Xenopus tropicalis: one gene and its partner. The protein of the gene in region 1 purifies or fractionates together with the protein of each later gene. This does not show direct contact. Links are inferred from orthologs where the notes say so. Each region holds a gene or a part of one and is shown on either strand. Other genes may lie near its edges. The genes, in order: lin28b and larp7.

Region 1 (4,604 bases):
GGACCGATCCTTCTGACTAGGCTGTCCCTAAAGCAAGACCATCTTTGCCAAGGACAGCTTTAGCGGACATTGTTAGTTTCGACTGCAGAATCGCTACTAGCGGGAGGCAGTTCTCTCAGTGAAGTACTACTTGTGTTCGGATAGAGAATGCCTGGCGTTCTGAAAGGTATTAGCGCCCTTCCCCCATAGTTGGGACTCGCACATCAATTGAGACAAATACCTCCTGGCATTTGGGAAGCAAGCTGTAGTGTTTGACCTCAAACTGGTAGGTCAGGAGCAGAGTTACATGTTCTCATCTTGGCCAGTGTACTTTCTGGGCTGGTTTAACTGCACCTAGAAATAATGGGCTTCCGTTTTGACAAGGGATCCAGCTTGTCCTGAGCTCTGAATTTGATGGCGAATGAATCTAGGTATATAGGTTACTGCATTAAATGATTGGCATCTCTAAAGGATTAACGCCATAAACAAGTATGATAGTTGAAATACCAACCCAGTTTCAGTGCATCTAAGGTGAGCAGGCTACCTTAATACTAGAAGTCTCATGGCCTATAATTTGGAAGAGAATTGTCTCAACATAATAGCAATATCGGGTCAGTGCGTAATAGATGAATGAAGCAGTGGCTAAAGGCAGGCCAAAATATATTGCCTTTGTTTAAAGCTCCTATTTGTAGACGACAAGTAAAACCCTATATAACATACAACATTCTTATTGTATGAATGGGATGATATAGGCACATCTCCAATAGATGGGTGCGTGCTCTGTCGCTCATTTAGCCCATTGTCCTTGCCTATTTCTAGCCCCCCTCCCCTCCGGTGACTCCCAAAGAACAATCCACGTTGATGAAGGCTTTTTCATCCCCCTCTCCCTTTCCAATGCTTGGCTCTTATTTAGGAAGTCATTAATCACATCCCCTCCCCCGGAAAGAGATGGCGGAGAAACCTGTGAAGTCTGATCCAGCACCCGCCTCTTCCCCACCCCCTCCTCTAAAAACACAGGGAAACCTCCACGTTTAACCCCACTGCTGCCACACCATGTGGCCATGGCACGGTGGTTAATTAAGTGCAATTCCCACCAGCAAATCATTGAGTCACCCTTTTCCTGGAAATTTCTCATTCTACATATCACAGATTAAAGTGGGCTATGTGATACACAAATGTAAAGACACGTTTATTGCACTGGTTATTATGTTTAGTAAAGCACACCAAAGAATCAATAACAAAGTATTTATACGTCAATGAATAAATCCCATCATTCCCATGTATTGTCAGCTGATATACACTAGTCATATAGCTGTCAAAAAGCCGTAGTACAGGCGGGGCATTATTTACTATACCAGTAATCTAGCAGCATGCACCGCCGATAAATGCGGGCAAAGTAACGCTACGTTATCTCCATACCGATCGGCGCACTGCAGGCTTGTGCACGAAGAGCAAATATGCACAGCCTCCTTGTAGTAAAATGACTTGGCTCGGCGTGTGCGTGTGTAAAAGCTTGGCGTGTTTATAAGGATTTTTTTCCCTCGTTCATTCATAAATGTTTTCCGTGGCAGCCTCGGTCGAAGTGGTGATTGGCTGCGCCCAGCTCTTGCCAGCCCCTTCAGGATCAGTGCTGAAATTAGCAGCAAGAAGGCATGTAATTGACAGAGTCACGTGTGCTGGAGGGGCCAGCGAGCAGAGAGCCGAGAGAAGGGAGCAACACAAGAGGGAGAGCACGCTAGACCATGCGAGCTAAATTTGGGATCGCTTCAAATCAGGATGCCACATTGATGCTACAGATCACCCCCAGCAAAAAGGAAACTTTTCATCTTTCGTCTCTAGAGCAGGAGGCATCATGGCCGAAGGTGCATTAGACGTATTCATTCCTGCTGTTTTCTGGGCTTTTTCCTTTCCCTCCGCGGATCGGCCGGTAGAGGGGCACTAGATTAGGAGGAGGGGGCACCTTCCAGCTGCTAGCAGATCACGCTTACCCTCGTATCGTGGTCGAGAAAGCAAGCACTGCTGTATTTTTTTTTTGGAGGCTTTTGTTTGAATTATCGGCTATGATCGTTTTTGCATGTATAAGTCATCCTAGGGTTTTTGTTTTCTCCACCTGTAAGGTTCGCGTTTGTTTTTCCAATTAAAGTCCACACTTGCAAGGGATGTGCACTCTGAAAACAATGTGTGATCCAGTGCATGGGCAATAACAAGTTGTGCAATAATCCTCATACCTCGCTTCACCTCCCTCCCTGCGCCGCCCTACACCAGGGCCGTTCTCTTTTTGAAAGTGCTTTATTCTCCTTCCCCTAGTATAGAATGGCTGGAGCACCGAACTGGCTAGCTGCGTTGCAAGCACATGGGTTTATAAATAAACACGCGGCGAGCAGAGATTAAAGGGTTTTTTTAAATGCCCAGTGTCCCAGTGGTGGGTTGCGCACAAGAACTAGAAGATGAATGCAAGTGTTAATGTGTTATAGTGTGCCATATTCTTTATGTTTGCTATGCTTTCGGAACTGATGCTTATTGTTTTCTCCTCTATTCTCTCCCAGGAGGGGCTGCCAGAGGTACAAGAGAAGAGCAGGGGAAGCTGCCAGAACAAGAAGAGGAGGAGGAGGAGGACCCCCAGGTCCTGCGTGGCTCAGGCCATTGCAAGTGGTTCAATGTACGGATGGGCTTCGGTTTCATATCTATGACTAGCCGGGAGGGAAGTCCCTTGGAAAACCCTGTCGATGTTTTTGTTCACCAAGTAAGTCTCTTACCCCCTCCTTACTCTCACCACCCACAAGGAGAGGGGAAAGCCACCCGCTTTGGAGTTTCTCCCCATTTCCTGGTGCAGCAGGAATGTGTGTGCTTAATAGACACTTGCTCTTTCTATGAACTCCACACTTTCATTGCATGCAGACACTGCCTTTACCTTTTTTATGGGCAATCGTTAACTCTGCGCTCCTGTCATTCATTGTATCTGCAGGACTGTTTGCTCTGCCTTCAATGGGTTAATCAGTGCGCCCATTTGTTTTTAAAGGAATCTCTTTTGAGTTCAAGTGAAACAGCCAATGAAGAGCACAGTCTGTGACTCCACCCTTTATCTGCTCTAAAGGGCTTGTTAGTTATCTAATTAAGACCATTAGATGTAAAATATGTTCTTATCATTCTAGCCATAATTGTCATCTGATTGCAGCTGGGTTCAGTGCTCAAGGTTGTTTCAGTGTTCTTTTTTAAAAGGTCTTAGGTAAGGTCCAATTGTAGCTCATTTTGCTTGCCTTAAGCAGTAAGAAAGTAAATAGCCACATTTGTTTAGGGCTGTGCGTTTTTCCTCTGTCTAGATTGGGAGCAGCAGGAAATCTGGTGTCAGCTGCTCTGTCTCTTTAAGGACATTGAAGTCAAGAAAGCATGTGGCCAGAGGCAGTTTATGTTTATGCTTTAACTAAGGAGTTGGCTGTTCTCCTCCTGCACTTTCTCCTGTGTGAAATCAAAGCTGCACTCCACAGTTTGCTCCATAAAAAAACTAAACAAAACCTAGGTTGCCATTTTCACTGATTAGATCTGCATATAGATATAATTGTTTGTGTAAAATGTCATGGTATTAAGTGTAATACCAAAAAAGCAAAAGCGTGCACATGTGATAATCCATTCTCAAATTGTGTCAAGAACAAGTACCTATAAGTGTAATGCCATGCGTTACAGCAGTCACCTGCAACTGTGCCTTTTTAACTGTTGCTAAGTCCAAGATCCCCCTACAACAATCAAATATTGTGATTTCTGAACAGCTGCAGTGACACAGCTTCTAGATTTTAGTTTTGCAATGTGATCTTCGTGTTGTTGACTATTGTTGAAGTGTATTTGGTATTTATTGCAACATTTAGATTTTTCAGTTACTGTTTACCTGAAATTAAACTAAAGCTACTTATAAAAATTCTACAGTGTAATCACAGTTGCTTGTACAACATTGAAAATGAATATGGCTTTTTGTAAGTTAAGCTATTATTGGAACATTAGTAATTATGACCCTGTGCATTAGTTCCCACTGTCATTTTTCAGATTTGCATTTGCAAAACTGATGATGCTGTGATTCTAGATAAAGCAACCCTGAAATTTGTTGTTCTGTCTTTCTATACCTTGAGCACTAATTGTGGGATCTGACAAGGGGAAGCAATCTTTATTGTACACTTTACTTCCTGTTGTGCCATAGACAATAGAATAAGGGCTGTTTGTTGCAAGCAAAGAACAGGGAGCTGAAGTGACAGTGGAACATCCTTGATACGATTTTTTTTTTTTTATCATTGAACCTCTCTTCACCTACATTTTAAATTATGCATTTTACTTCCCATTAAGGAAGAGCTTGTTTTTTGAAAGGCAAACTCTTATTTATACTGCTGCTTTGCCAGGCTTATTTAGATGGTTCAAAATGTCTTTCCATGCTATGTGTTGTAGAGGAGTGTCTTTTTGTGCTCAACCTTGACAACAACCCAGTTTAACACATAACAGTTTAACATATAACAGTTTAACATATATATATATATATATATATATATATATATATATATATATATATATATATATATATATATATATATATATATATGTTAAACTGTATATATATAAATAATTTTTTTTTTTTTTTTCTTTCA
Region 2 (3,822 bases), on another chromosome or scaffold:
TCCCAATATACACCGTATTTTTTTTTTTTTTTTAAAGAATTGTTTCTGAACCAGTTTGTGGCAGCTCAAGCCAATACCTCTGGCAACAAAAGAGGTTGAAGGGGCTAATTAAATGCGACTAGGCTTGATAGATTAACTCCATTAACTCTTTCTTACACCTATTGTTTTAACATTCCTTTGTCTCCCATTGCATGCATTGTAACAAATGCTGTCCTGGTGAAAATAATACATTTACATACATCTGCTTTTGTTACAAGAAGAAGCCTCCTTGTATATAGTGGCATGGGAATAATAATAGCTAGTTATGAATAATGCAATTAAATTATAATTTAGCAAAGTCTGCATAAATCAAAATTTGCCTTACATTTATGGCACCAATCCAAAAAAATATAAGCATGGGAGAAACCAATCATGTCTTTTTAAACAATCCAGAATATGTTTGTTATAATAATAAGCAGGCACATGGCTTAGACCAATCACAGAGGAGGTGATTAAAGTGATGTAAAGTTAACGATTCAAGGTATTGACTTTTTTTTTATACTCATTTTTGGGACCGTGTTTTTTTTTTTTTTTTTTAATCAGAATTTTGTGAAAAAGAACTGACTTTGGTCAAGGTTGAAATTAAAAAAAAAAAAAAATGTCTGCCTCTAAGACTTTCTGTGCACACTAAAATGCCCTCCAATAGCTGTTTTGTTTAAACATTGCACAGAGTGTCTTAAGCTAATGCCACACTTAGGGGCTGATTCATCAAAGTACGAGTTCGAATTCCAAAATGGGTAAAATTTGAATTAGATACGATAATTTTGTGATGATCGCAAATATCATCAAAATGCTTACAAAAAAACCATACTAATCACGATAATATTGTATTGGCGATCCGAAAGTCACAAAATTTTCATATCCGAACTATCGTAAATGGTGGGAAAACCTTTCCGACTTTGATCCTTCTGTGCATGATTTTGGAAGCCTCCCATAGGACCCAATGGCACTCTGCAGCTCCAACCCGGCCCAAGGAAAGTCCCGATACCGAAGCTTGAATGAATCAGAAACTTTCGTACTCGGCGCGGCAATATGATTTTGTCACAAATTTTGTTGCAAAGTATGAAAGAGTTAGAAAATATCCGAAAAAGTCGCAGAAAATACGCACAGTATGAACAAATCTGATTTTTTTTTTTTTGTATTTTGTACCTATCATACTTTAATAAATCGTCCCCTTAGCGTAGGTAGCGTATTCTCTGCAAGGTGAAAAACTGTTGCCACAAATATGCTACATACACTTAAAAATCCTCCTACCTGTGCCTGCACCCGAAAGAATTGAGTACACTCAGGTGCAGGCACATGTAGCCGATATCCACTGAAAATGCAAAGTCTCACGTTTTTTTAGCAGATATCGGCTGCATGTGTCTGCATCTGAATGTATTCAATGCTATCAGGTGCAGGCACAGGTAGGAGGATTTTCAAGCGTAGGTAGCGTATTCTTGGCATGCCGAAAATATGCTACTTACGCTATGGGGTTCGATTGAGTCCGAAAGCTAAAAATTCATATTTTTTTATAAGTTTTAGAACTGTGCGTATTTTCTACGATATTTTCACTAATTTCCGCAATTTTTTCATGCTTTGCATCAATTTGTGCGTCAAAATCGTATTTGTCACAACGAGTACGAAAGTTTTGGAATTCATTCAAGCTTCGGTATCGTGACTTTCCTATATATAAATAATTACCAGAAGGGTGGCACTCCGCTTTATTTGTATAACCAGGTGCACTGTAAAAACATAACACATCATTCAAAAACAACCAGCAACACTGGGATTTCTATGCAAATCAAAAAAATATAGTTAAACGTGCATATACAGCCACCAGGGAGGACCAAAACGTCATGGCTGTATATGCAATATATATTTGAAGGGAAAATAAGTATTGAACAAGTCAACGTTTTTCTCAGTAAATATATTTCTAATGGGGCTGTTGACCTGAAGTTTACACCAGATATCGGTAACAACCGAAGTAATCCAGGACTGATCAACAGTTACCACAAACATTTAGTTGCAGTTATTGCGGCACAAGGGGCTCACACCAAATACTGAGAGCACAGTTCACTTACATTTGCCCGCAGATATGTTACTGGATAATTTTTTTCAATAAATACCTGATCAAATATAATAATTTTTGTTTAGTTTGTTTAACTAGGTTTCTTTATCTACTTTTAGGAAATCAGATCATAAAATCAGGTCATATTCACTTAAAAATATAGGAAATTTGAAAGGGTTCACTTTAGACAATCACTGTATATACTGCTGGGTTTTTTTTTTTATGACACTAAATTATTCTCCTCTCCAGGACAGAATGGTTGGTCCTGAAGGCCGAATATTTAACACTGCAGCGAGCCAGCATGGCCTCTCTTAAGAAATCAATGAGTGAAATGAATCACATCTCTGAGGAGGAAATGCAAACACAACCATCCATGCAAAGCTTTGATATTAAGAATGGAAAAGGTATAAATAAATAAATAACTATGTGCTTATAATTATAATGGTTTTTCTTTAACTTGACAAATATGTAGATTAATTCAATTATCTATTTATCTACCAAAATGTTTTCTTATAATTATATAACTCTTTCCATTTCATATTTGGATTTAGTGGAGACTGTAAAGAATGAACCACTGGGACCACAGTTTGTGTGTGGTGTTATAGGGAAAATCACAAGTTCAGATCCTCTTCAGGGACGCAAATATGTTAAGGTAAATTGTCTGTGTTTCTCTTATCCTAATAATCTACCATCCTGCCTGGGAGCGCTGTCTCTTCACTCTGTTGGTACTGCTGGGTGCATATAATTATTCACTGCATTCCTGCAAAGAATAACACCTAAAACTTTATGCTACAGAAACAAGCAACACTTTATTTTGTCTTGACAATACAGGCTATAGATACTAGGTACACTTTTTTTTCTTTTTTATTAGTTTCCTACGATAAAGGTCTTCTACTGGGAGTGACTGATCTGTAAATGATTTCCCACTGGCTATAATGTAAATTGCCGGTTGGAAAACATGTGGCAATTGTTTTGTTTTTTTTCCCCTCATGTGGCATTATCCTTAGGAAAAGTATGGATACAAATGCTGTAAATCATGTTTGATCCTCTTTAAAAAAAAAATGTGTGCACTAAATAATTCCTGAAATTTGATAAGGGAACATTATTTGGTTTAATTGGATGATATCTTATATGGAAGTATTTCATAGTAAATAAATAAAATAAATAAAATCTACATTCATTCATTCTTTCATTTAGAAATTGTGTTAGTGTCCTGGGAAGTTCTGATCTATGAAACTTGTTGGGTGACATTGGTCACTTACAGAAACACTGAGTTGCTCTGCACCCACAATTCCCACCCAGTTTGGTACAATGCAGGGTGACTACTAGCAAATCTTGCTGATATTACTTAGAAGCAACTCTCACCCTTGCCCCACTGTCCTATACTGTATGTGTCTGTATGAGCATGTGTTGATGTTTGTAAATATAATAAATTACTTTCTCTTTTAACAGGATGCATTTTCAGGAGTGTGCGAAGTGGTCTATGTGGACATGCTGGAAGGTGATACAGAATGCCATGTACGGTTTAAATCTCCTGAAGATGCACAGACTGCAGTAAAAACTCGCTCTGATTTGCAAGGCAAACACAATTGGAAGCTACAAATTCTCGCAGGTAAGACTGCCTTTGGATCTAACTAGTACCTTCAGCCATAGGACACACTGGTCTGGTATAATGCATTTGGTGTAGATATAGATTGTGATTCTGCCAGCCAAGGTTGTGAGTGTTGTTTTAT

The links.
Region 2: the proteins of lin28b (region 1) and larp7 purify together in Homo sapiens (affinity purification with mass spectrometry; 3 studies listed by BioGRID and IntAct, with this or other methods). This does not show direct contact. The link is inferred for Xenopus tropicalis from reciprocal best matches to the Homo sapiens genes LIN28B and LARP7.

The regions. Positions count from the first base shown.
Region 1 is NC_030681.2:80,099,850-80,104,453, forward strand, and holds the start of lin28b (protein lin-28 homolog B), read left to right. Parts: upstream 1-1,666; 5' UTR 1,667-1,831; coding exon 1,832-1,841; intron 1,842-2,525; coding exon 2,526-2,722; intron 2,723-4,604. UniProt on the Homo sapiens protein: Suppressor of microRNA (miRNA) biogenesis, including that of let-7 and possibly of miR107, miR-143 and miR-200c.
Region 2 is NC_030677.2:68,989,427-68,993,248, forward strand, and holds part of larp7 (la-related protein 7), read left to right. Parts: intron 1-2,338; coding exon 2,339-2,493; intron 2,494-2,640; coding exon 2,641-2,741; intron 2,742-3,541; coding exon 3,542-3,701; intron 3,702-3,822. UniProt on the Homo sapiens protein: RNA-binding protein that specifically binds distinct small nuclear RNA (snRNAs) and regulates their processing and function.